4 linked regions of the Tamandua tetradactyla genome follow. The protein of the gene in region 2 interacts with the protein of the main gene of each other region in a biochemical or structural test. Links are inferred from orthologs where the notes say so. Each region holds a gene or a part of one and is shown on either strand. Other genes may lie near its edges.

Region 1 (7,861 bases), on a different chromosome or scaffold from region 2:
ATACTCATAACTTTGTTAAGGCCCCCTGGCACATAAATAATACTAAACCAATACTTCCAAATTTCACCCCAACGTATATGCAAGTCAAGTCAAGGACAACTACTCTTTTAAAGAGCAAACAGATGATCAATATTTACAGAAAGGACATGTTTTGAGGAAAAGTAGTGATCATATAAGAATAATGCTTGTAAAAAAAAAAAACTCGTAATAAATTCCTAAGAAACAGGTATTCATACTCTCAGCAGTGCTTAATTAAAAGTTTTTGTTTCCTTTAAAAAAATATGGAACATCAGCAGCACCTGAACCAGTTTCAAAGCTATAAATACCCAAAACAATTTGCAGTTTCATCTTATACTTAGAATACTCATCTTTCCATCTTTCGTGCCTCACACACTACCTGGCACAGAAAAAGGCTCTAAATAATTGCATGTTTATTCAAGCTTATACCTCTAGTGAGTTATAAAAAGAACACAAATCCCAAGATCTTATTTCCCAGATAACAGAAATAGGAAGAAAAGCCCTGGGGAGCAAAGGTGAAGAAAGGCCATTACTTGGGGGGCGGGGGGGGGGGGGCATTTGGTGATTTTTGTTTGGAAGGAGCTGGGGGCACTAAGCTCTGTTTCCACAAAATTAAATGCCCCTAGCACCGCAATGAAAACTATCAACGCTACTTAGGAACTTACTAGTTCCTAATAAGACCTTCTGTCTACAAACTCAACAGAAAGGGCAAGAACTGAGTGATCCAGGAAAACAATTACCCAAAAACCCGTGAAAGTGATTTCTCAAAAGCAAAACACCCTGTATAATTGAGGAATGGGGACAACTAGAAAAGAATAAGATTAGCATTGTTGCTATTTCTGTTGTGTGCTCTGCAAAAAATTATTTTATTGAAAAATAAAACCCATTTTTAAAAATATGCAACCAGGGAACAAATAGATGGTTTAAGTTTTTAATGGAATCTTTTAGGTGAACAGTCACATGACACTGGAAAGCATCAACAGGAAGAGGAAGTTCTTCTGTTTCTGGAATAGCTGTTATGGTATGATAATGGAATTTGGCCCTTTTAAAATCAACAAGTGAGTCTTACAATTGGGTAAAACTCCCTTATTAGTAAATTCATGTGCTTTCTGGAGGTACTCTATTGTTGCACTTTACATCAAAATGTTTTTAAAAACCAGAGCCTCTCAGTTACCTGATCTATTCTTTTTAATGATGTAATAGTTTAAAGATTGACTTAAAACAACAACAAGCTGACTGATATTTGGGTCCAGGATACAGTCTCATAATTAAACTGAGAAATAAAGTGTGATAAAGGAATCAATATACTTATATCTCTAAACCCCCTTCAGATTGCTATGGTGTAGCTCTGTTCACCAAATATAACAACGCAACATAGCCAGGTACTAAAAAAGACAAACAACTTAACAAATCTACCTGCCATGCTTGTACTACATAATTACCTTACGGTTTATATCCCTTAAATACAAATGTTTCTGAAAATATTAGAATTCAATAATTAAAATAAAGTCTCACGATTTTCCCTCTCCCCCCCCCCCCACCCCCCCAGTCCTTGATCGTGCCTCCAGCAAGAGCCTGGGATGTACTGGTAAATTTAACATTCTAGAAAATTATTAGATAAGTAAACACTATGCAGGTCAACACCTAAAAGAGATTAAAATCATAAATCACCATGCAGCAACTCAAAATTAACTTCACAAATCGAAATTCCTAAAATTAACGTGTCTAGAGACTGCAGGATTGGACTAAAACTGAGGAAAAACCAATACTCAGCCGACTTCAGACACTGACCTTCACCTAAAATGACCTTCCTTTGGTTTCAGACTGAGTACAGATTCTAATGCACTTACAGACAGAAAACCACATTCGCGGTTTTACCTATAGCTTTACAGGTAATCTGGAGAAGTTTCTCTCCAGAAAAACTACATTTCCAAATTTAATCAACCGGATGACTCGGCAGCAACCCTAAATTATTTGCATAGCTCCCGAACAACCCGCCTGTCAATTTCACTAATCAAAGGCAATCGGCAGTAGGCAGGGCCGAACCTCGGGAGACTAAGAGCAGGAGGAGCTTCATACCAACCTGTCGGTGATAGTAGACTGTGTGCCACTCATTGGGGCCCTTGGCGAGAGGTGCTCCTTTTATCCAACTTGCATTTTACAGTAACACCTCCACCCCACCCCCAGTGCTCTGGGATCAGGCCCAACTCCTTCAGGGACACAAAAGTCCAACTCAAAACTCCATTCAGTCATCTAGAGCATCCGATTGGAAGGGGTCAAAGACAGGGTAGATATAGGCTGGAGCAAAACAAGTTATCTCCCCAAACAAACCGAGAAAGTCTGCCAGAAGGCGAGTTCTAAAGCTAGTGATAAATCCTCAGGAAGGCACAAGGGAAAAAACTTCGTCACCGAGGGAAGTCACGAGCCGCGGGGAAGGGGACCCAGGAATCCCTCCGGGCTGGGGAGGGATCGGATTAGTGACGAGAGTCGGTTCCTCCTTTGGGGTCTCAAACTCGCCGCCGCCGCCGCCGCCGGGCCAGGACCTCTCGGCCCAGGTCTCTATCTGGGGCTGCCGGCGGCTCCTGGCTGCAGCTTCTGCAGCGTCTCGGGCAGTCCCGCACCCGGCTCACGGGGCTCCATATCCCCGGGGCAGGGACCCCTCTCGTCTTCCTCACCGCCCCCACCAGGCTCCGAGCGCTGTGACGAGCAGCGGGTGCTGTTAGGGAGGGGGTCCCGCGGCCTGAAATGACAGGGACCTGTGTCTCTCAGCGCCGCAGGCTGCTCCCCATCCCTCCCCGGCCGGAATCTTCCGCAGTCGGCTGAGGTGGCTCCTCCCCGACGCTCCAAGAGGCGACGGTTCCCGTGAGGGGCGGGAGGTTCCTGTCGGGTCCGGCCCGAAAGCGCCCGCGAAGGGGGCGGGCGGGCGAGTTGCAGCGACTCCCCTCACAGGGCCGGCTCGCCGGGTCTCGGGGGCCCTCGCGGGCGCGCGCGCGGAGTGCGGAGGAGGAGGAGGACACTAGCCGCGGGGGGCCGCGCGACAACTGCAGGCGCGCGCGCGGATTCCGGTTCCGGTTCGGCCTTCCTGGCCCCAGCCCCGTCCAGGCGAGCTCGCTCTCTCCCTTCCACGCCCACCCCCTCCTCCCCGACTTTTTTGGCCTGCTGCCCTCGGACTTCGGAAAGCCACCTCACCCGAGATCCCTCCGCGGCTTCTACCGTCTCGTCTTCGCGCGGCTCCCGCGCGGACGCCTCCGCCAGAGCCTTGTTTGGTGGAACGAAAAAGTAGTCCTGCGGGGCGGAGGAAGGTGAAAAGCCTGAGGCCACAGGAGCTCCACCAACTAACACACCGTCACCCCCACCCCGGCGCCCCCTTACTGCCGGAGAGCTGTGCGTCGGGGTTGAGCGTGTATTAACTCAGTTTTAACCAGAGTTCTCCAAAGAGAACTCTCCCAGTCCCTAGGAGTTCATGATGAGGGTCTGCCTTTGGAATTTACCACCCCCTCTGCCCTTGACCTAGAAACTTCTGTTCCTTAATTGAATGTACTTGTTCTCCTTACTCTCTAACACGTATAGAATGCTTTTGACCGATGGGCCCATCCCGGATCCCATTCCTCTTCCCCTAAAGGTAACCCCAAGAGAGAGGTTTTGGCGCGGGCAGCTCACCTGGAGCACCTGCTGCCCTCGTCCCAGGAGAGGGGCCGTGGCGCTTAAGTCCTGGCTGCCTAGGGTGGGAGGTGGCAGGTGTGGGGCTTAGGGACTGGAATTGGAAATTGAAGCCAGGATTTCTTGGGATAAATATTGTTTTTAGGCTTTTTCTGCCTTGGCAAAATGAAATGTATTATTTGCCAAACTGAGAAAGCATAATGCTTTCCACTATGATTTAACAAGCTTATTGTGAGACGAAATGAGAGAGAAAAAATATCCAATAGCATTATTATTCTCTCTGAAGAGTTCCCAAATATTCTTTGGGGTTTCCCCCCTACCGTTTGGAGACAGAGCTTTAGATATCCAAGTTTTATGTTTGAATAAGTCGGTATTGTGGCAATTTAACAGCAACATATAATATAGTTCTTTAATTCTGCCTTCAAACGTCTGAAGTACTGCCCTTGTTACTCAACTATTTTCAGACTTGTACGTTTAGACAAGTTGGTGGGTGAGTGGCTTCAGCCATTTTGTGGAAATCAAGTGGCAAATCAAATCTAATATGCAGTGGATGTGGAAAGAAGAAACAATTACTTCTTAACAATGTTTGTTAAACGTCATTCCACAAAGTTCATGAAAGGATTATTATCCCTGAATAGATGCATTCGCTAAGGGTGACGTTAAAACGGGGGAACCAAAAGGAAAAGATAAACAAAACAGAGTCCAAAGATGACTCTTTATTGCTTGATTTTTTTTTTAAGTTCAAGGCACAGCCAGCTAATTTTGTAATGTTTATTTTTGGAAAGAATAGAAGCACATTAGGGTTCCAAGCCACTTTCCTAATGATCAGACCAAGACACATTGCCACCTGCTGGTGTTTCCTAGATGACAATTCTATCTGAAGACACTAATTAAATTGTATATTACACATAATTCGAATGAGCTCCATCCATTTTGTATACAGTGACCAAAATCCAAAGTTTATGTCCAATTTAATAATTCTTTCTTAAATGTACTGAATACGTTTAAAACTAAAAATTTTACAGTGTGTCAAATTAGTTGCTCCCAGTGACTCATCAATCATGCATTTTAAAAATGAATTCCCCTCTTCCCGTCAAGAATACCTCAATACTTGAGCTTCAGGAATAAAACAAACTGGGAAAGTTTCCTAATTCACCTTCTCTTCCTTGCATACAAAACCTCTTGGCAGACTGCTTTCAAGACCTTTCCAAACTTAAACAGACTCAAAGTTCTAGCTGTGAGCAAAGAAGGCATTTTGCTGTGGGAAAGCTTCAGAAGATGGTAAGCAAAGGATTTAATTAAGCCAGTGGTTATTCATTCCAGAACTTTTTTTTTAATGATGAAAATCTCTATATTCATCCATGAAGCTCTAATGGTAAAAAATGTCCCTTGAAAGCCTCTTTACAGCTGTTTATAGCTCTTGACTGTTCTAAAGGCTCTATCTATAGAATTTCTTCAGAAGAGTCAATTTAGCTAGAAGATACTCCCCAGAGTCAAGGAGTCCTTTCCGGGGGTAAAAATGACCTTGATGACCCAAGCCACCAGGCATTCCCTTTCAGGAGGTTTTCCAATGGGGATTATTTTAAACCACATTCCCATCGCCTTCTCCATTCTGTCCACATAGTTGTTGAGTACCTATTATGTGTTGCATACTGTTGGAGGCATTGGAAGTACAGTTCTGAAGAAAGCCACAGGCCCTGTCTTCAAGGAATTCATTCCACATTATTATTCTCAAGGCAGTCAGGTGGCAGCACAAGAAATAAATTTTTTCCTCTCTCTTTTGACAAACTTTTCAATATGTAGATTGTTGCTCCCTAAAATAAAGAATAGTAGGAATGGCTGCCGATAACAACTGATAAGAGGTATTTCACTGAGAAGTATGAATATGAGTCAATATTTCTGCAAAAAAAAGTCAGAAATTTTTTTTCTTTGCTTCTTGGTATAACCACAAAAAAGATATAAAAACTTCTGAATTGATTTTTTAAATGTGTTTATTTTTATAAAATTTAGTACAAATCTTATTTATATATAAATCGTTCTTGGGCAGTATCAATAATTATTACATAGCAATCCAAATGCAAATGAGTACTTCATTTTGTCCAACCATACCATAGATTAATTAGCCCTTCATTTACCTGTGGTGCAGAAACTCAGCATTTTAACTGCTGAGTCATCTTCATTTCACATTTTTTCTCTCAGAGAAGTTTCTTCATAGTTATTAGCCACAATGTCAAGAACAGCTGAAATGAGGGATTCCCTTTTTCGTATTCAGATTTCTCATGGTTCAAAAAAACACTAGGTACTTTCCCATGAGAGTGCCCCAAAACGGCAAGATCTGCTATCCCTTTGCTTCTGAAGAGTCAAGAGAAAAGAACTGGTACCAGATTAAGTCTATTCATTTGTCTGGTATGGAACAGGTTGCACTGTGCCAAAATTCAAGAGCCAGCTTTTTCTTTTTCTTTCTTTTTTAAGCTCATGTACCAAGCCACTCTTTTTTTACTAGGCTTTTGCTAAAATCAGCACTTCCCAGCATTCTAGGCTGACCACAGTTTTGTTGGGAGGAAGCTCAGCAGCATCTCAGGGATACTGATAATAGAAATAAGATGCACAGATGCCATCTGTTTGATTGTGTCAATGCCCAGTAAAACTTTCTAACCAAATGGCAATCATTTAAAAAGACCCACTGTTAATATGCCTTTAAAGGTGCTTTTCCCATAGCAGTGATGACTTTGTGTAATTCCACCCACTCCCTCATGCCTGTTTCTATGGCCAACCATACAAACATCCACTTTCAAGACACTCATTAGTTTAGTATTTCTGTGACATGGAATGGACTGACGTTCTACTTGACTTCAATAAGCACCACACACTTGCTCACCAACTGAGCTAGTCAGACACTCACTGGTCTACATAACATAGTTAAATAAATAAATAAATAAATACATACATAATACTTCATTTTTTCATAAAAGTCATAACTTAAAGACTGCCATTAATAAAATGCCACACAATGTCTCTATGAATACATGCCGGGATATTTCCTTCACTCACAAAAAGGTTTAAACTGAGGCAAAGAGTAAATAATCTGGTGAGTGAGTAGCAAAATTAGTTAAAGAACCCAGGAATTTTTTATTTCTACCCCCTATTCTAGGCTTATATTCTCGCTTTTCCAAGGTGTGATTATAGACCATTGCTCTAAGAAATATATTTTATTTATTCCAAGATTGGCCTGGTCAAAATAATGTGTCCAAAGAGAGTGGTACCTTTTTAAGAGAGAAATAAGAAGAGGAGGACTAAAAAGGAAAATATATGAAGTAACAACAACAAAACATTAGCTTCATCTCCCCCCTGAGGCCAGTACATACTTTTTAAAGTCTTTGGTTCTCGTTTGCAATATGTACAGCAAAGCTGAAACCTGAACTGCCATCTCAAGCACAGTGGAATCCACATAGTAAATCCCTATGGAATTTAGTCACAGCCTCTCATGCCTAGGAGATTAATGCACAAAAGCCCTGAGAACTGGCATACAGTTTTCCTGGTAGGGCAGAACCTGTACAACTGGACTCAGTAAATCTGCGCACACCACATTCATCTCACATCCAAAGCCCTAGCTATATGGTTTTTGTGCAGTGAAGAGTTAACACAGCAGGCATGTCCTGCTGTCCTTGGAAAGGCCTGCTTACAAGTTTGGCCCTTGGCTGGCATCTGGGAACTTAGATTTCAAGAGGGTTCCCACAATGAACTGATAAGAGTGGCTCACTGTGGCTAAACTGTTTGGGCAAACACTATGATTTATACTGAATACCTGCTTTCCTTCTGGGAGTCCGGAATCATGGTAAATGCCAGGCAGAGGCTGCCTAAGTGAGCAGCCCCCAGTAAAAACCCCAGGCACTCAGTTCCTAATGAGCTTCCTCAGTAGACATTTCACACATGTTGTCACAACTTGTTGGAGGAATTAAGCACATCCTGTGTGACATCACTAGGAGAGAACTCTGGAAACTTGCACTTGGTTTCCCGCGGACTTTGCCCCATATATCTTTTCTGTTTGCTAATTTTTCTTTGTATCCTTATGCCATAATCATAGCCTTGAGCACAACTATATGCTGAGTCCTCTGGATCTTTCAATCAAATTGATGAACCTGGGGGTGGTCTTGGGACCCAACATAGTTGGTATAGAGTGTTC
Region 2 (7,625 bases):
AGAAAAGCCATGTTTTAATATAAATCCCATTTCATAAAGGTAGAATAATCCCTATTCAATACTGTATATTTGAAACTGTAATGAGATCATCTCCCTGGTTGATGTGATTTAGTCAAGAATGGTTGTTTAACTGGATTAGGGGATGACATGTCTCCACCCATTTGAGTGGGTCTTGATTGGCTTATTGGAGTCCTATAAAAGAGGAAACATTTTGGAGAGAGAGACTCAGAGAGAGCAGAGAATGCTGCAGCACCACGAAGTGGAGAGTCCATTGGAGATGAGGAAGGAAAATGCCTCCCGGGGAGCTTCACGAAATAGGAAGCCAGGAGAGAAAGCTAGCAGATGACGCCGTATTCGCCATGCGCCCTTCCAGCCGAGAGAGAAGCCCTGACTGTGTTCACCATGTGCCGTCTTACTTGAGAGAGAAACCCTGAACTTCATCGGCCTTCTTGAACCAAGGTATCTTTCCCTAGATGCCTTTGATTGGACATTTCTTTAGACTTGTTTTAATCAGGACATTTTCTAGGCCTTAGAACTGTAAACTTGCAACTTATTAAATTCCCCTTGTTAAAAGCCATTCCATTTCTGGTATATTGCATTCCAGCAGCTAGCAAACTAGAACAGATACCCATCCTGGTGTCACTGCACTGACCACACCTACCGCCTCACCCATCCCAGCCTGGGAGCTCTTCATGGACAGGGGCCAAGTCTTTTCATCTTTTTCTTTCCTCAGTGGCTCTCACCATCCCTCCTAGGGAATGAGTACCACCCTGACCAAATCTACCATCCCCCCACAGCCGGCCCTTCATGGGCCTCAGGACCCATAGTGTCCCAAAGGCCAACACCTCCTATTCCCCATCCCCCACCCCCACCAGCCAGGTGCAGGCTCTAACTTTATCTGGCCTGTGGCTGCACTGGTTCCCAGAACAATTAGAGACAATGTCCAGCCCAAAGCCTGCCACTAGTCATTTTTACATCCTTTGGAGGTCCCCAGCATTCTAAACCTTAGCTTGGGGCTCCCTTCTGAACCTCCTTGCCATACATCTCCATGGCCCTGCTTCAACCTCACCTTCTCTTGCCTGGCTCAGATGTTCCCCTGGGATTGTTGCCTCTTCTCTCACACCCTTTTCCACCTAGAGCCAGGAGACCAGAGAGGTCCCCCCTGGGCTCACATCATGAGGCAGCCCTGCTGACAGTTAGACCTCCCCTTCCCGACCAGCCTGATGCTAGATATCTGAGGTCCCCACCCCACTACAAACACACTGCATTTGTCCCTCTGCCTCCTTCCGGACAGTCACCTTCCATCCTGGTCATTGGCAGGTGGCTGCAGGAGGGGACGTGGTAATGCCATGGGATATTTTCTGCTGAACACGCCCTCCCTCCCCCATCATGTGTGTCCTGTGGGTGGCTGAATGCAGGCCTACATCTCCTCTCACAGACTGGGCACTCCTGAGGACAGAGCCACCTTCTCCATCAGACCTAAGGCCCTTGACGGATGGCTGTCTCCCTCAACCCTGGCCCCAGCCTAGGCTCACACGAGGAGCTACCCACTCACCTTTCAGTGTCGCCTTCTTTAGCACCTTCATGGCGTACAGGTGTCCACTGTCAGGCCGGGTGACCTTTCGTACCAGGAAGACCTGAGAAGGCAGTGGGGTCGGGGTGGAGGTTGATGGGGGCACCTGGGACCGTCAGACCCCACCCTCCAGGTTCCAAGTTGACCTCTAACTTTCCGGAGCCCCAAGCTGACCTTCTGCCCTCCCCCAGCACCATAGTGACCTTGCACCATGGTGACCTCTCACCCTGCCCCCAGATCCCTCAACCCTACCCCCGATTTCCTGAGTGACCCCTCACCCCCCACCTCTGACATAACCAGGGAATTCCTCCCAGCAGTGGGCTCAGAACTCACTTTGCCAAAGGATCCCTGGCCCAGCACCTTGAGGAGCTCAAATTGGGATGGGTCGGCCTTCTCAGAGCCAGCCTTGACGTGGTGAGTGATGGAGATCTCCTTGAGGACGCCCTCATCCTGATTGAGGGACAGAGCTGGTGAGCACAGAGAGCCCACGCAGGGGCCCCCCCAAGTCTGGGACCATTCCCGCTGGACCTCAGTAGACAGCGTCCTGCAGGTCTGGCCAGGACACTACCCCAACTGCCTCTGAGTTTACCAACCCCAAAAGGGCTTCAGAGACCTGGAAGGGTCAAACCACCAAGGTGTGGGTCAGGCGACAAGGATGCTGGCACAACCAGGAAGGAATTCCCCCCAACCGCAAGCTCTGGCTAAAGCCCTGAGACCTCCAGGTCGTCCCTGAAGGGCTTCCCTTCCCCTGCTGCAAACGTTTTTGGTTTTGCTACAATAGGAAGTAGGGTTTATTCTCATACTGGGTAGGTGGAGTTGGACCTTTGTTCCTGGTCAGGATGAGATGGAGTGAATCCCTCTGGCCAACAGGACAAGGCCGAGGTACACAGAGAGCTGAGTCACCTGGGACTTCCCTACCTACCCAGTAAGCACCAGCCTCGGGTGGGTGGGAGTTAAGACCAGAAATGCCATGCCCACCCTTTCAAACTTCCCTTCAATGAGCCAATTGCCAGGCCCTGGCTGTTCTAGGAAGCTTCTGCTGTCTCCCAGTTTTCTGGTGTCTCTAGAGCTCTGAAGGCCTCTTTACTTCCCTGGGAAGCAAGTCTAGGCAGGGTCCAGTCACCCACGGGGCCAGGCTGGGACCAAGAGAGCCCAAAGACAACTTAGGCCAAATTGGCTGCCCAGGCACCTGCTCCAAGGGCCACAGCCAGGCCAGGACCAGATATCCGGGTACACTCACCGAGTCCTGCTGGGGGCCAGAGCCAAGGCCCGAGGCAGGCAGAGAGGTTTGGCTGATCCTGGGCCGCTGCTTCCTGGGCAGCCAGGGGAGCAGGGCCCAGAGCCGCAGACGGGGCAGCTTGGGATCCTGCTCCATCTGGCCAGCAGGGCCGCGGCACCATGGCAGGAGCAGGCAGCGTCCCGGGCTGCCTCGGAGGCGGCCCGGCCCAGGGCGGATGTGCAGGGTGATGGCGGGGGCTGGGCCTGGCCCAGGACCGCCAATCATTCAAGGTCTGTGGTTTCCCAGCTCCAGGCTTACACCCTCACCACGTTCCCTTCCTCTCTTTTGCCCTCACCCCAAAGCCTGAGGGCTGCCCTCAGGCCCTCCCTGCCCCAGCCTCCCTGGGGGCCTCATGCCAACATAGTTGCTGAGAAGCAGGTAAGTACTCTGGGTTAGGCAGGGACAGGCACCTAACATATGAAGGCAGATAAAAAAAAGACATCCAAAGGGCAGAGGCAGGCATCCAAGAGGTAGAGACAGAAAAAAACAAGCACCCTACAGGCAGAGGCAGGAGGAAACATACCCAAGAGGCAGAGATGGGCAGAGGCATGTTCTCAATGGCAGAGGCAGATGAGGACATGTACGTAACAGGTGGAGGCAGGAGGGGACATGTATGCAACAGGCAGAGATGAATGGGGACACGTATCTAATAGGCAAGGCAGGAGGGTACATGTACGCAACAGGTAGAGACAGAAGGGGGTACCAACCCAACAGGCAGAGACAGACAGGTGTGGGTCACCTAGTGGATGACATGTACCCAACAAGTGAAGACAGGAAGGCACTCAGCAGGTAGACACAGAGACAGGTAGACACAGAGACAGGTAGCAGGGCGAGGATCCCCAGGAAAGGGGGCGTCAGAGCTCCAAGACAGAGCTCTGGATTCTTTCAGTCTGCCTGGGGTGGAGGAAGGGATGAGGGGACATAACCTGCAAATCCCAAGAACCCAGGAGAGGAACCCGGTATTTGTGGCAGACCCATCTCTGAGGTCCCTAGGACCTTCTTCCCACCCCAGGACCTGAGGGGTCCAGGACTAAGATGGTGGGCTGAGGGGTCATCTCCAGAGCGCACTCTGATGGCTTTGACTCTAATCCAAAATATCCCCATTTTGAGAACAGGAAACTGAGGCCCAGAGAAGGACAGTGACTCACCCAGGCTCAAAGCAAGCCAGTGGCAGAGCCAGCTAAACCCAAGTCCCTCCCCTGGTTGCTGCCTGGCCTGGGATCAGCAGGCCTCAAGTGCCAGGAAAGGGTGGGCAGGTAAGGCAGCCAGAGCCACTTCCTCCCCACCGAGGCCTGCCCCCTCCCTCAGCATCAGGGTCAGTCTGGGGACTTCCCACTCTAGGCCTTGACCCTCAGAGACAGTCCCATCCCCAGGGGACCCTCCCTGAAAGAAGGGGGAGTGGTGTAACAGCCATAAAAAGCTGCAGGCAAATCAGGCTTGAGTACAAACCCCTGGTGGGATAGGCCGAAAGCCTGGCCCAGAGAGAGGCGGGGGGCGGCCAAGACCACACAGCCATTTCTGCCCACCCTGCCCTGAGAACTGCGCCTCTACCTCATCCGTCAGCTGTCTCTGACCGAGAATGCTCCCAGGGGACAGAGGCAACTATCGGGAAACCCCAGGACACAGAGACACCCCATCCTCCAAACCCTTGCCCTTGCCCAGAGTAATGGTGACACATCACGAGACGCAGGCCTTCTCTCTGCTCACCTTCCTGGGACAGAAGACCAAGTCTCCCCCAACCCTGGGGAAATCTGCCGTGGTCTGCATGGTGGGGCTCAAGCCGGTGGCCAGAGGGCCTTGTTACTCCCTTTACTTCTGCTTTTTCAGTCTTCCCAGCCCAGAAGGCAGGGTCCTTGGCCCCCCTCCTTCTCACTTCCCCCTCCGCAGGGAGGAGGGACAGAAGATGGGTCAGGCTCCCCTGCTGAGGAGGGGTTACCACAGACCCCAAGCCCGTTACCCCAGGGAGGACTGGGTGTGCGCCCCTCCCCATCTCCTCTAACCCTAGGGAGGGGACACAGGAATACAGATGGAGGTCATGCGGCAATGAGGTGGTGACACAGGGGGGCATCCCAGCACCCGGGAACACCCACCTGGAGGGGCCCTGAGGAAGGGGAGACAGAAGTCAGCAAAGCCATAGCCTCTGACTGCCCAGCCCAGAGCTTAGACGGTCCAGCTCAAGACACTCCTGCCCCCACAGCGCCCTTCCTGTGGCTGGGCCCACCCAAGATGCCAGCCTCACAGCCGGCACCACAGGACGCAGCCCTCCCCGGCTCCAGGGCTCTGCGTTCTCAGCCCTGCCCTGAAGAGGCTTGCTGCTCCAGGGCCCAGAGATGCAAGGGGGACAGCCCGACACAAAGGACAGGATAGAGGGGCAAGGGGCTGTGGGGCAGAGCCAGACCAGGCCCAGCCCCTTTCCATGTGGCCTCATCTTATCACTCACACCAGTGCACCCACAGGAACTGACAGGCACACAACCACACACTCAGGCCGGTGATCGGAAACCATTTCCACAGACTTGGCCTATGTGGAAATACACGCCTGCAGTGCCCACGGACTTCCCCTTCCCTGCCCTCACGGGGTCTCCGATAACAGCCTCCGATGGGCGATGCCAGGCGTTCTGAAATGCCTCCCTGAATCCGAGGCTTCTCACTGCACCCCAGCTTCCTCAGGCTCCCCCCATGGAGACCGGGACAGCCCTGGGAACCTCAAAGCTCTCTGGCCCAGCAGCAGAAGAGGGGCCGGTGTCAGCGGGGCATCCACCACCCCCATTCCCCCCGAAGCAGAGGAAGAACCGCTGCGGCCGGCAGGGCACAGGAAGGAAACAGTCTCAGAACGGCCTGCACAGAAGGGCATGCGGAGGGGCTGGGAGGCCTCTAGCGGCAGGAGGACAGGCACCAGCCCACATCCCCTCGGTCCCTGCCCTTCGCTCCCCACCAGAGACACTTCCTCTTGATTTACTTCCTCCCACATGGCAGCTGGAAGAGAGATCCAGAGCACTCTAGCCTGACCCTTGGTTCCCTGATTTCCAGCCCTGGCCTCCCTCCTCCAGCTGCCGCCCAAGCCCACCTGCTAGTCCCAGTGCGTAATGGACACCACTAGCCTTTTGCCCAGCTGGCAGCATCTGCGGGCCTACCAGGCACTAAACCCCTCTGGTGGGACAGATGCCCCCAGACGCAATTCCCAGCATGCCTCTGGGCAGGTGAGGAGGGAGGCTGCCATTCTCAGGCATCCCTGAAGGCAGAGCTGGCCTCAGGCACCAGGCCAGGACCTGCACGAGTGACAATGAGAACTGCACCTCCTATTAGCCAAGCGTGTTTTGCATGCGGCCATTCTTTTTTTCAACCTTTGCCAGTGGGGATTCTGCTGTTCCTGTACTCGGCACTGGGGCTGGGGCTGGGGCTAAGATCCTGTGTCTTGGCTCCAAGGGAGGTACTGTCATCTCATTTCAAAGATGAAGAAACTAGACTCAAAGAGAAAGTGACCTGCCCAAGGCTACATGGCTAGAAAGAGGTGGAGCCAAGGGCAAAATCGAAGTATAAAGACCCTGCTTTTAAGCATTCCCTCACTGTCCTTCCCGCAAGGGCAACCAGCCTGGTTCTCCTCCGGACATCATTCGCAGTGACTGATCCCCTCCTCTCCCTGGCCAAGAGGTGCGGAAGCTAAGGCAGACCCTGGTCTTGCCCTCATACACATGATAATAAAATACAACTGTCCTGCGACAGAACTGAGAGCAGGTGCTGTGGGTGCCTGGCAGTGGCAACTCAAAGCTGGGTTCTGCAGATGAGCAGACATTGGCCAGGCCGAAAGGAGGAAGGAAGACATACAGGCAGAGAGCCAGGTGTGGGCAAGAGTTTGGAGGCCAAGAGTAGAGGTGGGAAGTCAAGAAGAACTGGCCACACACTGGTCAAGTGCTCCCAGGCCACGGTCTTTCCCTGCCTGAGCTCTGATTTCCTTCTCTATAAAATGGAGGTAAAAATGGCATGCGCTACTCTCAGAAAGTTGTTTCTAGAAGCAAACTGGGCCATGGAGACAAAGGGACATTGTAAACAGAACTTCTCCTTGGTTTAGCTGGGCAGTCTTACCATGGTCAGAGGCCAGCCCCAGGGCCCCAGGTGCAGGGAGGGTGGGCCAGGGGAAGTCCTCCCCCAACACCTGAGGCTGCCCAAGGTTCCCCGAAGTCCGTGGTCACATCCTGCCTGAGCTCCAGCCAGGGGAGCATGAGGGATCCGGGAGGGATCAGGGTTTCATAAACAGGAAGAGAGGAGGGGAGGGGGTTGACACTCAGCTCTCAAAATAGACCTGCAGGCGCTTCAAAGGGGTCCAGCTCCGGAGGCAGCCAGGGGAGGGGGCCTGGGTTGCCCAGTCCACCCCCAGGAAGGGAGGGTGGGTGAATGGAGTCCCAGGGTGCCTGAGGATTCCAAATGCACCCAGAGTGCTGAAGGGATCCAGCGGAGCTCACCCTGAACCCGCTGTATACACTGTTGCCCCTAAAACCCCAATATCCCTTTCTGCCTGAAATGAACACAAATAAACAAGCGTTAAGGACCTGTATTGTGCCACAAACTTTGTTGGTTGCTTTATTTTAAACACATCACATTTTGGGCTCTATTCTCCTTCGACAGGAAAAGAATCTCAGCCTCAGAGGGGCAAGTCATTTGCTCAAGGTTGCAAGGCAAATGAGAAACAGGGTTTTGAACTCAGAATGCCTGAATGCTGAGTCCCAGCCCCTGCCATTTCTCCAGCCAGGAGGCCCGATTTCCTTCTCTAACTGCC
Region 3 (7,391 bases), on a different chromosome or scaffold from region 2:
GGGTGAGAGGAGCCTTCCCAGACCCCTCCCCAGGGAGCCGCCCCCTGGGACTCCCAGCCCGCAGCATTCACCCCTCTTTGCAGGAATCCCTGTTCCCTGATCTCCTTCCCCAGCAGACGCTGAGGGTAGAGACCCCGCCTCCCCAGTTCCAGCACAGGGCAGATGTTGAGACAACGTCTGAGAATGGCCTTCAAAATGACTCGCCCAGAACACCTGGAATTTCCAGAAAGTTTCTCCAAAAACATCAGGGAAACCTCTCTGTCCTCCACCACCGCTCATTCCACCAAAGACCCCGAGATAATTCTTCTGGGGACACTCCAGAGCCCCCCACCCCATTCCCCCCAGAGGCTCGGGAAGGGGAAGCCTGAGATTCCTCCTCCCGGGCCCTGGAGAGGTAGCCACAGCCACCCTCCCCCACCCGGAGACCAAGAGCTACTCGATGGGCGCCGCGCAGTCTGCGCTTGCGCACCTCATCGTGGCTCATTTGCCCTGTTGCTATGGAAACGGCCAGCCCGGAGCTCGGGGCTCGGGAGACTGAGACCCTGGTCCAGGGCGCACGCGCCTCTGCTCCGCAGCAAAGGAAGCCCCGCCCCCTCGACCGATTCCCGCTCGGCGATTGGCCCCGCCCCCACTGCAAGGCGCCCCGCCCCCCTGAGACCTTGGACCACTCTGGGGGTCCCCTCTGGCCCCGACACGGGTGCAATTAAGAGGAGAACAGATGGAGGCCCAGACGGTGGGCGGGGAGGGCCTGGGGGCAGGGTTTGAGACTCCTGCGGGGGGAGGGACTCACCTTCGGGAGGAGGCGAAGGAGAAGTGGGCTGGGGTGTTGGGGGAGAAGTTGCGGGGGCTGTCCAGGGGACTGCTGCCTGTGGCGTAAGGAGGGAGCTCTTAGGCCTGGGATGGCGGCAATTGGGATTTGCAAGCAGCTACCGGTTCCTTTTTAATCTGGTTCCGCCCCCAGGGCTGGTTGACCACGCCCCTTTCGCAGAGGCCCCGCCTCTCTAAGCGCTTTTGGTTCCCGCCCAGGCCCTGCAGCCTCTGTCTGGCCCCGCCCCTGAAGTCGGCCCCACCCCCTTTGCTGTATCGCCCAGTCTGACCCCGCCCCCGCCCTGCCAAACCTTCCGTGAGCGGCCACGCCCAGAAGGGATGGCCCCCGCCCCCTGCCCAATTTGAGCCTGCCTCTGTCGGCGCGACCCCGCCCCTCGCCTGTGACCCCGCCTTCTCCGGCCTGGTCCACACCCACCCAAGCCGCCCGCCCCCAGGCATACCCAGGTGGCCTGGCAGCGGGGAGTGGGGCCGCGGCAGCGTGGGTGAAGTGCTGGTCAGGATGAGGCTCTTCCGGTTACTGGTGCGGCAGCTGCGGGGAAGGCAAGGTCGGGGCCAGGCCGGGCCGCAGCCGCGCGAGCTCCCGGAGCCCGGCCCACCGCTCACCCCCTGCCCACGGCCCCCATTCCTGTGTGCTGAAGGTGCCCCCGGAGGGCTGCTCGGAGGAGGTGGCCACGAAGGCCTCGGCAGGACAATCGTGGGGAGAGGATGAGTGTGTGATGAGTGCGTGCTGGACTCGCTCCGTGTGGACACAGTGCCTCAGTCACCCAGTGTCTGCTTGCCTGTCCTTGGTACTGTGTGTGACATTCACAGTGCGAGGTCAATGTAACACCGGGCGTGTGCAAGTGTGACATCCATGTGGGATGCTCCCTGGGTTTATCTTGTGTGACAGCTTCTGTGCTTTTGTGTGTCCATGTGTAATGCCACTTGTTCATGTCTAGGAATGTCACCATGGGCTCTGGTATGGGCTTGATGTGTGATTTCCACTACATTTGTCTGTCCTTGGGCGACATTCCGAATCGGTGTGAGTTACTGCCCTAGTGTCAGTATGTGGCCCACATATGCATCCTCTGAGGAGGTGTAATACCCTGCAACACCAGGCATGTCCAAGCATGCCACTTTGCATGACATCCCCTGGGTGAGTCCTGAGTGTGATAACGTGTGATTTTGTGTGTCTCTGTCTCTGCAAGATTCCCCGCGGCATTCTCTCCTGGTGTTTGTGTACCATGCCTAGGGGTGACAACAAGCATTTTGATGTTGCTGGATGCATGGATATCTTTGCCACACATGTATCTGTGTGCATGTCGACAGCATATCTGTGCATGGATGGTTATGCGTGTGACATCTTACCGGGTGGAAATTCACTGGACCTGTGGGCTTCCACGCCTGTGTGTCTATTCCTGGTCCTGCCCGTGGCCACTGCATGGTGAGGTGTGCGTGGCGCCTCCCGGGTGTATCTGGGCCGCTAGGGCTGTGTGTGTGAATGTGACATCATGTCCTGCGTGATTCTGTGTGTCACTGTTTTCGGTGTGAAGCTGGGTTCTTTGAAGGGGGGGTGGAATCTGTGCTCTGATAAAATTCCCCCCATTTCTCTCTGCCCCTCAGGATTCCAGCCCCCGAAGAGGGAGACCCCAGCCCTTCCATCCCCCCACCCCCGGCGGCCGCAGTGACAGAGCAGATCAGCGCGTCCAGCGCACGCGGCACGGGGAGGGGGGGCGCTCAGCCAGGCTGCGGCTATTGTTCTGAGGGTGCCAAGCCCCCACCTTCCCCTCCTTCTTTCACCCCCACCCGGGCTGCCTGGCCCGCAGCGCGGGTAGACAAAGGCGCCGAAGCCCCCCACCAAGCGCAGCCCCCCTCCCCCTGTGGCCGTCACCCCCCAGCGTGCAGGCTCCCCCCCCCCCGCCCAGCCTCGGCCCACAACAAGCCCCCCCATTTTCGCTCCCCTCCTAGGCGGGAAGGCACAGCCCTGACACCTCTGGTGCAGCTGGACCGGGCGCAGCATCCCCGGCCCCGCCCTGCGGCAGCGGCCGGAGGGGCGGCTTTGGAGGGGAGGGCCCGGGCAGGGTCCGTGGCGGGGGTGGGGGTCGAGGGGGCTACCTCTTGGTGCGGCGGAACATGCTGCCGCCAGGGAAGGAGGGCATCGAGAAATTGGAAAGCGCGGTCCAGAGAGAGTCAGACATGACCCGGCGGCGGCGACATGGTGGCAGGTGCGGCGGCGGTGGCGCGGGGAGCGAGCGCGCGGGGCGGAGGCTGGAGCCGCAGCGGGCGAGGGAGGGCGGGGGAGGGGCGGACCCTGCGGCCGTCGCCCACCAGGAGGGGGCGCTGCGGTGCGTCGGCGCCTCAGGCCCCGCCCGCGCGCGAGCCTGGCGCCCCCACCCGGACCGGAGAAGGGGCGGCCAGCCCCGCGTGTCTCTCCCCAAAGCTCACCTGCTGCTTTTCCGGGGCAGGGGCAGATCCTTCTGGAAGGCAAAGGGGCAGAAGGACAAGGGTCAGTGCGGGCCAGTGACCGCTGCCGGCAAGTCCTTGCAGCCCCCCCGGAGGAGCAGAAGCAGGGTGAACGCGGGTCCCTTATCAGCATTGTCACTTTCATCCTTGTAGATGCGCGAGGGACGGGTTTCTCGTGGGAGAGGGTTCCAGGGGAATTCTTCCACCCACCCCTCCCCCAGAGACCAGGGCAGAGAAAATAGGAGGGCCCCCATAGGTGGGCTCCTGAGTTGGCATCTCAATGTGTCCGTGCAAATGAAGCAGCAGTCTCTGTTGGAAAAAATACATATCTTGAGCGCCTACTGTATGCCAGCCCCTAAACTAGGCATTGGGGCTAGAGCAGTAAGACAAGTTAGAAACCTTCCGGGGTTAGTACTTAGTGGAGAAAGATGGACAATAAAGTGGAGGAGATTATTTTAGACAGTAATAAGTGTTATGAATAGAAGGAAGCAGGATGAGGGCTACTCTGGGGAGGTGACTTTTAAGCTGGCTGCTGAAAGGCAAGACCCAGCCTTGGGAGGATCTATGGAGAGAGCATTCCCCAGGAAGAGGGAACTGCAAGGAGAAGAGCTTTCAGGCAAGAATGATCTTGGCATGTTCAAGTATGAAATGTTGAATGAATAAATCAATGAATGAATCTTCCACAGTCCAACAGACCTGCCTCACCCTGGTCCCGTTGGGGGTGTTGGGTGGAGGAGATTTGAAATGTGAATGGCCTGGTATCTTGTTCCACAATGGCCAATAAAAATAATTGGTGGCTATTAATTTTGTGTGTTCACGTTCGAGGAAGATTGTATTCCATTTGTCCAGGTTTCAGTAACTAACTTCAGGGATCTGGAGTTAAGGGCATCTTGGCCCTTTTCCTAGGACAGCAGTGGAGAGAGGTGATGTCACTTTCCAGTTAGTTCGATCTTGAAAAGCTCAGAGATGGAAGGAAGGGGCTTGGACCGGGGCCCTGCGGCTGCAAAGATTCAGGGGGAGATTTCTAAAGCTCTGTTGTGGGAACTCTAAGAAAGGTAAAATGAGGATATTCTCGATTCTTCCTAAGATCTCAGAAAGCAGGAAGCCCTGGGCTCAAATCTCAGCTCGGTCCCTTATGGCCTTGGCAAATGACCTTCCAATAGTCCATGCTTCCTAAGGTAGCTGGGATGATTCTGTGAGATGGCATCGTGCAAATAGTAAGCACTCAATAAATACTAGGTCGTGGGAATAGGAGTAATTGTGAATGGACGTGCTACCAGGACAGGAGATGGGCCAGAGGGACAGCTCATTCTCATGGAGAGAGGACGGGCTTATGGACAGGGTCACTGGGCATGCTGTCCCCTGTTGTCAGCCCTGTCCTCTCGAGCCACGGGTGGCCAGAAATCCACACCGGGTTTTCCTTCTGTCTTTGCGGAATAGGCGTGAATGAGTCCCAGCCTGGACCTGCCATACTTGCCGCGCGTCCGCAATGGCCCAAGTGAAATCCAGGTCTGGATTTTGTGGCCACGGAGCCCAGAGGGGCAGAGGTCCCTTCTAACGCAGGCACCCTTGGCCTTCGAGCGTGGTCCCCGTGGGGACATTTAAGCGCCACCGGAGGAGTAAGTTCTTGAACACAGCCTCGACTTCTCGCGCTCCCAAACACTCTAAAGTCGAGGGAGGGGACAAACCGGAGTGGCAAAGGATTCGGACCTTTGGTGTCAGGGTAGTTAGACGACAGGTCCAATCTCAGTCTCTCTAGGGAGATGATTCCGCTTCTCCTCAAAATTAATGGATGGCGCCGCCGACAGGGTGTTCAAATTCAGGATGCTGCCTGCATACGTACTCTATCCCAAATGCACACCGGGGACCTCTTGGGTGCTCTGCGATGGTTGGAGAGTCTCTAAGGGATTGTACCTATGTACATCTGTGTGTGTGTGTGTGTGTGTGCGTGTGTGTGTACGTGTGCACTCAGCAGGGAAGTGGTTAATCTTGCCAGAAAGGAAGCAGGGGAACTGGACTCCAGCAGGCGGTCGCCAGGCGGTGATCGGTGATGGCGTCTTTGGTGAGGAAGGTGGGGAAGTGGAGAGAAGGGTCTGGGCGGGATCCCCATTCCCAATTCAAGGGCTGGGGGCGGAGCCTTCCGCGGGAGGTAGCAGCCCCGTGTGGCGGTGAGCCAATGGAAGTCCGCGCCCGCCCGGAGGGTGGAGACACACCCCATGCAGGCCCCGCCCCTTTCCACTCCTTTCCCAGGGACCCGACGGAGCGGACCCAGCCCCGCTGCTGCAGCGCTTGCTCGACCTTTGTCGCAACTCCTTCTCTTTTCTCAGAACGCATTTCCAACGCCCCCAGCCCTGCCAAAGAAAGGACCCAGACTCTGAGATGGGACCATCTGGGTTCTGTTTGAAACCAAATCAGTTCTCCAAACCATGCCTGGGTCCAGCATCATCCAGCCTCCTGAAAAGTCCTTCCTGCTATCTGACCCCCATTTTTCCTTCTGCAATGGGCGCTGAGCTCCCCTTGGTCTCCAACCTCGATGGCCAGACCCTTCTCCATTTCCGGTGGTGGATTACAGGAGTCCAGGGATGGACGAGGCGCTCTGGATGAGTCTGACTCGTCCCCTTCGTGCTGCAGTCTTGGGGTGCAGCGAGAGTCTGGGCCCACACTTGGCTTTATCTATGTCCACTCCCACCCCCCAGAGTACCGGGAGCGGGTCTGGGTTGGAGAGAAGCTCAGAAGGGCCAGACCTCAGACCGACAGTGGGATAAAGCCTTGATCAGTTTCCCCTCGGAGTCAGTGTGGGGGCAGCGCTTGACCCCCGTATCAAATCCCCACCCCACCCCGAGAAGCCCGAGCTGAAGACCTGAGCCTCAGAATCCTCACGCGGTTTGGAGGTGGAAGTTCCCTGAGCCTGGCTTTGTCCCCACCTTTCCCACGTTCCCAACAGCCCTCAGTTTCCCACTCCGCGCAGTGGACCCACGCGTTCCGCGCCTGCGCAGCGGCGACCAGCGTCTTCTAAGGCTGCAAGGAGCTAAAAATCGCTCCCGCCCACCCACAAGCTGGGCTGGACTTGGGGATCGCCGGAGGGAGGGGGGAGTGGGGAATGGGGTAGAATGAAAAGTGAGGAGGCTGTCTAGGTGCCTGTCCAATTAGGGCAGTAGGAAGAATCCTGGGGATCAGGCAGGGTGCATGGGGGGTGCAGGGGAACCCCACGCCTCGGAAAGGGGCTCCTGGGGTGATGAGGGGCGAGGCTGCCGCACAAACATGTTTACGGCTGCTGCGGCGCCGGCGGCCCCGAGGGGCGCAGCCCTGGGGCAATAACTTTGCCTTGCGGGCCCCCCCCCCACCACGTCCGCCTGGCGGGGGGGGCCAGGGCGATGACCTCGGCCCCAGTCCCCTCCTCCCCGGGCGGGACCGGCGACCCTTAGGCTCCCCTCGAGGAGGAGCGCTAGTCTGCACCCCCTCCTTCAGCTCTGGGGAGCCCCGGGCGGCGCCTGAGGGGCGGGGTCCCCAGCGCGGCGGGACGCGCGGCCAACGCGTCCCCGGCTGACAGCGTCCCCAGTCCGTGGGAGGGGGCGCCCGGGCCGACCCTGGTGCAAGTTCTCCCGCCCCCTACCCGGCCCCGCCCCAGGGCGCCGACCCCTTCCCCTCCGCCCGGCTCCGGGGCCGCGGCGTACCTGCAGCCTCCGGCGGCGGATCAGGCCCGAATCGTCCATGGCGGCGGCGGCGGCGGCAGCGGCGGCGGCTTCGGCCCGGGGGAGGGAGGAGGGAGGCGGCGGCGGCGGGAGGAGGGAGGAGGGAGGGAGTGAAGAGCCGCGGGGACCGCGGCGGCGGCGGCGGCTGGGGGGGGCGGGGGCGGAGCGAAGTGGGGCGGTCCCGGTGCCGTCACTGCGTCTGGGCGCCCGAGCCCGGCCTCGGCCACGGCTGCAGGCGCTGGGGTGGGGGTGGGGATGGGGTGGGGGCGGGAAGGAGGGCGAGGGGAGGGACTTCCAGATGCCCCCCCCGGGAGCCAGGCCACCTACAGACGGCCCCATGAAGAGACCCCTATGCGTAGACACCCCCTAGGGGAGAGCCATTCTCATGGGTAGAAAGTCCGCCCAGCACTAAAACACCCCAAGGGAGAC
Region 4 (7,596 bases), on a different chromosome or scaffold from region 2:
GACTGCCCCCACACTGGCTCGCCTAACGTCAGGCCTCCTTTCTAATAGCACCCTCAAAGGCCTGCCCTGTCCTTTCCGGCTAAAACAGCACCACTGTCTACACTCCGAGCCAGAGCAGGCAGCCAAGGAACTTCACTGAACAGTGACATCGAGTGACCTGCCTGGGGCTCCTAGCCTCCCAGCGCTTGAGTGGGGGCTTCCACTGAAGGAAGCATGCTGGGCTCCAAGACCCCTGTCCTCGGAGTGCCCTCCAGAAAGCCAAGGGAAGCCATGCCTTCCACTAAGCAAAGACAGCCCCTCCTGCTCTGTCACTCACTCATGGATCCATTCACTCATCCATCAACAAATATTTATTGGGCACCTCCTATGTGCCAGGCAGACAGACAAATACACGAGCCGTGTCGGACACACTGCAGAGCTCAACAAATATTTGTGGAACGAAGGAGGGAAGGAGGAATCTTGCGCCCTCTATGGCTCTCCCTCCTTTCAAGGCCACTGGGCTCATCCCACCACAGCTGTCCCCACCCCCCTACTGGTGTCCAGCTGTGGGTCTGATCGTCAGTGGAACCGACCTGTTTCTCTCTACACAGCGAGTCTGCCCAACCAATTTTTAAGGATTTGCCAACTCCAAAGCTCGTCAAGTGACTCTGTCTCACAGAATTAAATGAGGCGGCTTGAATAGTGCCAGTAACTCAGAACCCTGGGCAGTGAAACTACAAAAGTTGACAGCTGGCTTGTTTTGGACAAAGCTGTGCAATCTGCTTTTTTAAGGTTGTGACCTTCCACCCAGACTGCCGCAGTAGCCTTAGCTTCCCACCCAATGCATTCTGCGCCCCACTGCTAGGCTGGACCTACAACCAGGCTCTGAGCTGCCCACCCCCACCCCCCACCCCAATCCCCCTGGTTCAGGCACCTCTGCACACCCTGCCCAGCTGGTTCTTTTCAGCACTGGGACCCAGCATCACCCTGGCTCCCCTTCCCAAATGTGCCTGGTCACACTCTTCCATTCCCCACCCCAGGCTGTGCTGTTCCCGTCCCCACCTGCAATGCAGTTCCCAGCCCTAGGAAACTTCCTTTACCCCACCCAACTGGTGTGTGGGTAAGCAGGCAGCGGCTCTGAGGTAGGCAGTCTCGTTTCAAATCCCAGTTGAATGACCCTGGGCAAGGCATTTAACCCCAATTCTCCCTTCTGTAAAGGGAGACTCGTGACAGAAGCTCCAAGGGTGGCTGAAAATACCGAATCGTGTAATGCACCTAATGCAGCTGGCACCCAGACAGGCGCAGAGAGGGTGCCATCACCATGACACCTCTAAAGGTTCGGCTTTCTCTGGAACTCTCTCCCAGCCCCTAGCGAGGCTGGGGGCTCCCTGAGGGCTGAGGCTGGCCTCTGGGCTCCTGCACCATAGGAAAGCACAGTCTCTAATTTCTCCCTAGACCCCTCTAGCACCTTCCTCTTTGTGTGAGCCAAACAGATGCCCGGTCCCGGCCGGCCAGGCTGGACCATAATCCTACCTAGCCGATCTGGCCCAGCCCCTCTGCTCCGGGCTTCCCTCTCCCCCTCTCCACGCACCACCCGGCTGAGGAGTGAAACCGAGCCCGCCCAGCACGCAGTGGCCGCCAAGCACAGAGCTGGGTCCCTGTGGCCACAGCTGGACTGGCCCCGGCTGAACTTCCTATTGTTTTTCCACATGCTCTCGCTGCCCCAGGACAAGGAGCATCTCTCCTGAAAGTCCCTCAGGGGGGAGATTCCTCCACCCACTCCTTTGCCCCTCAGCACCTAGGCCTCCACTGCCAGGGCGGGTTATTTGGTGGAGAAAAGATGCATGGGGAGGGAGGTGGGCTCCACTTCTTCCTGCCCCCTCCCCGGCCCCATTCCTCTGCTTTGGCAGGTTTCCTGATCCAAGCGGTTCTTCAAAAAGAGCCACTTTCATTTTTGTAGGGTTGGCTCAGAAGGACTAAAGCTAACACTGGTCCCTGCTGGGGGGGCTGACCATCTCGGGGAAACGGGGAAAAAGGACGGCTAACACCGTCTGTTACATTACACGGGGGAAAAAGTTTTCACCCAGAATGTTCGTAAAAAAAATAAAAATCAACCTTAAAAGGTGGTCATTAAAGGTTGGGGGAGGGGCAGTACGGAGAAGTAAAAGGAAAAGAAAGCGATAGAAACGAGTCTTTCGGCACCAGGCGTCAACCCCAGGCGCCAACTTCTCGCCCCCCTTCATGCCCACCTTCCTGTCTTATTCCCCGGGGAGCCCCCACTAGCCGGCCACCGGGAGGGACGCCCTGGCCACCCCGATCCCGAGCTGCCAGGCAGAGCGCACCTGGCAGCCGCCGGCCGCGGAACCGACCCCCGGCTGGGTGCAAGGCTCGATTTCAAGGGAGCCCGCGGGACACTACCACCCCGGGGCCGGGGCCCGCTGTCCGGCCAGTGAGTGCCCGGAACCCGCAGCCCAAAAGCCTCGCGGTCCCTCGGCTGGCCCGCAGGTACCTTGGCCGCAGGCGCCGCGCTGCAGGACGATGACCGGCGGCTGGCTCAGCCTCTCGGAGCGGCGGCTGGCGGCGCGCAGCTGGCACGGGTTGGCGTAAGTGTTGGCGTCGCTGCCGCACACCGGCTCGCTGCTGGAGCACACGCAGAGGCCGGCCTGCGCGCGCCGCCGCACGGTGGCCGAGGCGGGCACCCCGAAGGACACCACGCACTGCAGCCCCTCGCCGCACGGGCCCTCCTGCAGGCCGCACGCGGCGCCCTCGGGCGCCCCGCACACCTCGCAGCAGCCGCACGCATCGCGGACGCGGCCGCCCTCGCAGTGCTCCGGCGACTCGGGACAGCGCGCGGGATCGCAGCGCTCCGGGCACCCGGTGGTCGGTCCCACTGCGGCCGGCACCGAGCGGCCGGCCCGGAGCAACTGGGCCGAGGCGGGCGCCGCGAGCAGCAGCAGCAGCAGCGGCGGGAGGAGCGCGAGGAGCGCGGCGCGCGGGGACTGCATGGCGGCTCCGACGGCGGCGGCGTTGGGCTGGGCGAGGGCCGGGGAGCGGCGCCGGGGAGAGCGCGGGAGGCGGTGCCGCCGCGGGGGCCGGGTCGGAACTCGGGGGGAGCGGGTGCGAGTGCGCGTGGCCGCGCCGCCCAGCCCATTGGCCTCGCAGCGGTGACGAGCCGCCTGGGGACGGGCACGGCGCCCGGGAGGGGGGCAGGCCGGATGGCGGGAGGGCGGGCGGCGGCTGGACCGGGATCGCCCGCGGCGGGGGCAGGGCGGGCGCGCCAGGGCAGGGCCCGGTGGGGCGCGGGCGGGCCGGTCCTCGCTCGGGGCTCAGTTTCCCCGTCTATGCGCCCCACTCAGGAAAAGTTTCTGCAGAATGTCGAGCTGATGATCCGCCAGCCGGGGATCGCCGGCCCGGATCACGCACCCCGGAGGAGGACAAGCACCTCGCTGGAAATGACCCCGCGCCCGGCACTCTGGCCCGCCATCGTGTGCCCGGTGCAGCCGTACATAGAAGACGGGGTTGGGAAAAGCCAGCGCCGAGCCCCGTGGTTAAGTGACAAAGGCCAAGTGCAGAAGTATTTAGAGCAGAATCATTTGCAATCGACTCATTTCAAAAGTTATGGGTGGGATGCATGTTCCCCCCGTGCAGAATATTTACAAAAGGAGAGTCGAGAAGCTGGAAACGGGGGTGGGTGTTGAGGGTCAGGGGTGTGGAGTGGGACAGGGGCTTAGTACTGTGAATTTTTTACCATGTGCTTGTGTTATCTCAAGACCATTTTGTTACAAAATAAAAAAGCTCTCTTTTGATCTCCCAGTTGAGAGGCTTCAGTGCATCCTTGTGGGGACAGAAGCGAGTCCACGAAGGCACCAGGAAGTGCCGGGATTCCGGCCAACGCGAGCAGGAGAGAAAAGCCTGCGCCGCCGAGGACGCGAAGACACGGGAGGGAACTGTAGAGGGAGCTGAGCCTGGAGGGGAGGCGGGGAGCGGTGGGAGGGGGCGCGGGCGGCCCGGGGATTCCTCACTGTTCTTCTGTATTTGGGTTGTTCCTTTGTGCACGCATTACTCTTCCAATAAAAATAGTTTAAAAAGTAAAATCCAAATGTTTATGATGTCCGCCCACACACGCACAGCCCTTCAAAGCACCTCCTAAACGTCCAGTGCCCAGAGGGATGCCTGGGAACAAAGTGGGAGAAAGGAGGCAGAGCCGCACAGGGCAGGAAAAGGACACTGGGGCACCGGCCTGGCTCCCCGACTATGCTGCACTATTTCATAAAGCCAGAACCTCACCTCCTTCTCCGGGAGGGTGGATACCTGCCCAGATGGGAAGCTCTGAGCACGTGGGGGACTGTGGGCTAAGATAAAAGGGGGGAAGGATGGAGATAATTACTCAGCATGTTAGATCTGCAAATAAAAGGACTCTCAAAACCAAAATTAGAGGGGAGATGAAATCAAAGAAGACCAGGTGAGGAATAATTGGTGAAAACTGTTTTTTGTCCCAATTCCCTTATCTTACAGGTGAGAAAACTGAGGAGCAGAGAGGGTGAGTGGCTCTCCAGTGTCATATGTTACACCTCAAGGTGAACAAGCCAGAGCCAGGACTCCTCTGAGTGGCCCTTCTACCTGCAAAAAAACACCCCGTCCTCCACCCTCCTGCCAAGTGATCAGACTGCAGCATGAGGTAGCTGAATCCAGAACAAAATGTGACCAAAGCTTCCCCGTTACTTGTCGGATGGGGTCTCCGAACTCCTTCCCTGTCAATGACTCAGCCCCCGAGAATTGAGTCCCCGTCATCCCTCATCTCAACACACACACACATACACACAAACTGGACTCCTGCAATGCTGAACAACTTGCATTTTCTGGAACAAACCTGTCTTGGTTTGCCAGGGCTGCTATGACAAATACCACACAACGAATCGGCTCAAACAACAAGCATTCATTGTCTCACAGGCCTAGACGTCGAAATCAAGGTGTCTGCAAAGCCGTGCTTTCTCTCCAAAGTCTGTAGGGTTCTGGTGCTGGTCTGCTACACGCCCCAGGGTTTCGTGGTTCACGTTTCTGCCTCCGTCACCTGGCCATCTCTCCCTCATTGGGTCTGCTTCTCTGGTTTCTGGTGACTTCTGGCTTCTTCCTGTGGCTTCCTCTGTCTTCTCTGTATAAGACCCAGTAGGATGGATTAACTCCCACCCTGCTTCAATTGGGCCACATCTAAATAGGATCTTTAAAGATCCCGTCTGCAAATGAGTCCACATCTTACTGATAAGACATCTTGAAAGGGTCCTATTTACAGTCGGTTCACACCCACAGGAACACAGGTTAAGAGGAAGAGCATGGCTTTTGTCCAAGTACAAGATCCAATCTCCCTCAATCTCTTCCTGTTCTAAGTCTCTGCCTTTGCTTACACTGTTCCCTCTGCCTGGAACACCCTTCCTCCCCTTCCAAGCTAGTGAAGTGGGCAGGCATCATGCCATTTCAACCCTCAACCCTGTGACTCCGGGCAGGTTGCTCGATCACCTCAGTTACCTTCACCAGGAACGTGGCAGTGACTGCAGGTCCCCTGTGAATGACTGGCCCAGGTAAAATACCAGGCCCAAACAGCCCTTGCTCAGAGTCGGTTCCAGTCCTGCCTGCCTGTCACACTCCTCTCCCACCCTCACCTGCCTGCTCAATGCCATTGTCTCCACCTCTCACCCTTGGTCACCTGTCCATTGTTACTGCCCTGGACAGGTGCCCTGCACCTTCCCCCCTGGGGCAGGGTCCCTATCTTCTTCACCTCTGGATGTCCCAGGCCAGCACAGTGCCTTCGTCCTCAGTGTACCCTCGGAACTACTATTGTGATGTTCACAGCCCTGTGCACACCATTGTCAACAGTGCTGCTCAGTCGGTGCAAACCAGGAGACCATGCAGAGAGAGAAAGAAAGATACCACTAACCAGGCCGGTGGCTTCAGCAGGAAGGGTATGGGAAGGGATGGATGGAAGGCCAGGGTGATACAGGAGAGGCAGAAGCTGCAATGCCCAAGGCTTTAGAAAGACGAGGTCAGCAGGAGCGCTGCACCCTGCGATCCCATCCCGGACCATCCTCCACTGTGAGTGCAGCCCCCCACCGGCTCTGACAACGCACCTGCAATTCTTCAGTTGGAGAAACCCAAGTCCCACTGGAAAGATCTAGGAGCCCTGAATTGTGTTTCATGTGTGCCTGGGACACACTCGCGTGCAGTGGGGAAGGTAACTGGATAAATCAGCTGAAACCTGGACTCAGGGGCCCACTGGTGAGCTTCCCTTCATTCGAGCTTCTGTGTGTCTGGAAGTTATGCTTTGGATGAGAAAGGTCTGCTCTTTCTTTCTTTTAGATTCTTCCCCCAACACTATTTATTAAGAGCTAGTTCTTAAAAGATGCATGTTTTGATACGTCATGAAAATTCATTTCTCCTTCATCAGGGGTTGGCACAGAGTCTGAGGGAGGATTTTTCCAGAGAAAAGGGTGAAGTTCTGAAGCTCCACAGGCCAGGTCCCTGCCCTCCTCTCTGCAGTCCTAATTTATAACATTCAGGCTTTAATTTTGAACAGAGCCTGTTCGTGAATAATGAACAATGAAACACCATGGCTGCCAAAGCTGTACTCAGGAAATGAGGTTCTAATTGGAATGGAGCAGCCCAGTTTGCGCTGCCCAGTAGGACAAAGGGCTTCCACTTGGGCCTGGGGACTCCACTGTTCTCCCAAATGTACAAAGGACCCAGAATGGTTAGGCATATGGCCTTTCTTAATTCACAGCATCTACATTAATAACTTTCATCTCTTTCACTTATCACTTCCCTCTCAGTCATTTTCAGTGGCTCCCAATCCCAGGGAAATGAAGTCCGGACTTTCCAACCTGAAATCCAAAACCCTCTGTGAACTGACCCACCCTGAGCCTTGAGCCAGGTTGTCCTCTAGTTCCAGGGTGGCAGATTCCACTTTACTGCCCCTCACACCCATCCCACTCTGTCCCTGAAGGATACTCAGCACCCAGGTAGAAGACTCCTGGCTCCCTTTCCTCTGAGCACCTGGCACTCTGCCGTCACCTCCGCCACCCTCTCCCAAAAGGCCACAACCCCCTTGACTGTGGGCACTCCTGGTTGTGTATCCCTGATGATAAGGCCAGGTCACTTCAGTGTGGTTCCGTTCAAAATCAATTTCTTGACCATCTGCTGTGTGCCGGACCCTTTGCTGGACCCTGGAGATGCAGCACTGAATAAATGAACTTCTTTCCCCATGAGCTCAAAGTCTGGAATTTCCTGTAGTGATGGAAGTGTTTTCTATCTGTGCTGTCCAACAAAGTACCCACTATTTTTTGTTTTAAATTTGATTAAATTTTAAGTTAATTTTAATTAATTTAAATTACATTTATTTCAATTATGCTTAATTAAATTTAAATTTAAATGGCCACATGAGTGCACCCCATGAGCCAGATGAGTCTAGCGCCTCCTGTACCACAGGGAGGTGGGGGGAAGAAAACAAATGCAGGGTGGCAGAAGGAAATGCAGGGGGAATCAGGAACCTTGAGAGGAGGTGACAAATGAGATACATTTGAGGGATCAGGAGGATCCCACCGCGATGAGAAATGGAGGAAGCACACA

Evidence for each region.
Region 1: the proteins of RPS6KA1 (region 2) and ARHGEF12 interact in a test that uses a peptide from one of them, tested with the Homo sapiens proteins (2 studies listed by BioGRID and IntAct, with this or other methods). The link is inferred for Tamandua tetradactyla from reciprocal best matches to the Homo sapiens genes RPS6KA1 and ARHGEF12.
Region 3: the proteins of RPS6KA1 (region 2) and MAST1 interact in a test that uses a peptide from one of them, tested with the Homo sapiens proteins (2 studies listed by BioGRID and IntAct, with this or other methods). The link is inferred for Tamandua tetradactyla from reciprocal best matches to the Homo sapiens genes RPS6KA1 and MAST1.
Region 4: the proteins of RPS6KA1 (region 2) and HTRA1 interact in a test that uses a peptide from one of them, tested with the Homo sapiens proteins (2 studies listed by BioGRID and IntAct, with this or other methods). The link is inferred for Tamandua tetradactyla from reciprocal best matches to the Homo sapiens genes RPS6KA1 and HTRA1.

Annotation. Positions count from the first base shown.
Region 1 is NC_135334.1:20,292,646-20,300,506, forward strand, and holds the start of ARHGEF12 (rho guanine nucleotide exchange factor 12), read right to left. Parts: upstream 3,011-7,861; 5' UTR 2,134-3,010; coding exon 2,102-2,133; intron 1-2,101. UniProt on the Homo sapiens protein: May play a role in the regulation of RhoA GTPase by guanine nucleotide-binding alpha-12 (GNA12) and alpha-13 (GNA13). Acts as guanine nucleotide exchange factor (GEF) for RhoA GTPase and may act as GTPase-activating protein (GAP) for GNA12 and GNA13.
Region 2 is NC_135328.1:199,665,595-199,673,219, forward strand, and holds the start of RPS6KA1 (ribosomal protein S6 kinase alpha-1), read right to left. Parts: upstream 3,015-7,625; 5' UTR 2,949-3,014; coding exon 2,814-2,948; intron 2,024-2,813; coding exon 1,907-2,023; intron 1,638-1,906; coding exon 1,556-1,637; intron 1-1,555. UniProt on the Homo sapiens protein: Serine/threonine-protein kinase that acts downstream of ERK (MAPK1/ERK2 and MAPK3/ERK1) signaling and mediates mitogenic and stress-induced activation of the transcription factors CREB1, ETV1/ER81 and NR4A1/NUR77, regulates translation through RPS6 and EIF4B phosphorylation, and mediates cellular proliferation, survival, and differentiation by modulating mTOR signaling and repressing pro-apoptotic function of BAD and DAPK1.
Region 3 is NC_135337.1:89,801,173-89,808,563, forward strand, and holds the start of MAST1 (microtubule-associated serine/threonine-protein kinase 1), read right to left. Parts: upstream 3,006-7,391; coding exon 2,923-3,005; intron 1,358-2,922; coding exon 1,269-1,357; intron 867-1,268; coding exon 791-866; intron 1-790. UniProt on the Homo sapiens protein: Microtubule-associated protein essential for correct brain development. Appears to link the dystrophin/utrophin network with microtubule filaments via the syntrophins. Phosphorylation of DMD or UTRN may modulate their affinities for associated proteins.
Region 4 is NC_135339.1:85,084,889-85,092,484, reverse strand, and holds the start of HTRA1 (serine protease HTRA1), read right to left. Parts: upstream 3,003-7,596; 5' UTR 2,985-3,002; coding exon 2,489-2,984; intron 1-2,488. UniProt on the Homo sapiens protein: Serine protease with a variety of targets, including extracellular matrix proteins such as fibronectin. HTRA1-generated fibronectin fragments further induce synovial cells to up-regulate MMP1 and MMP3 production.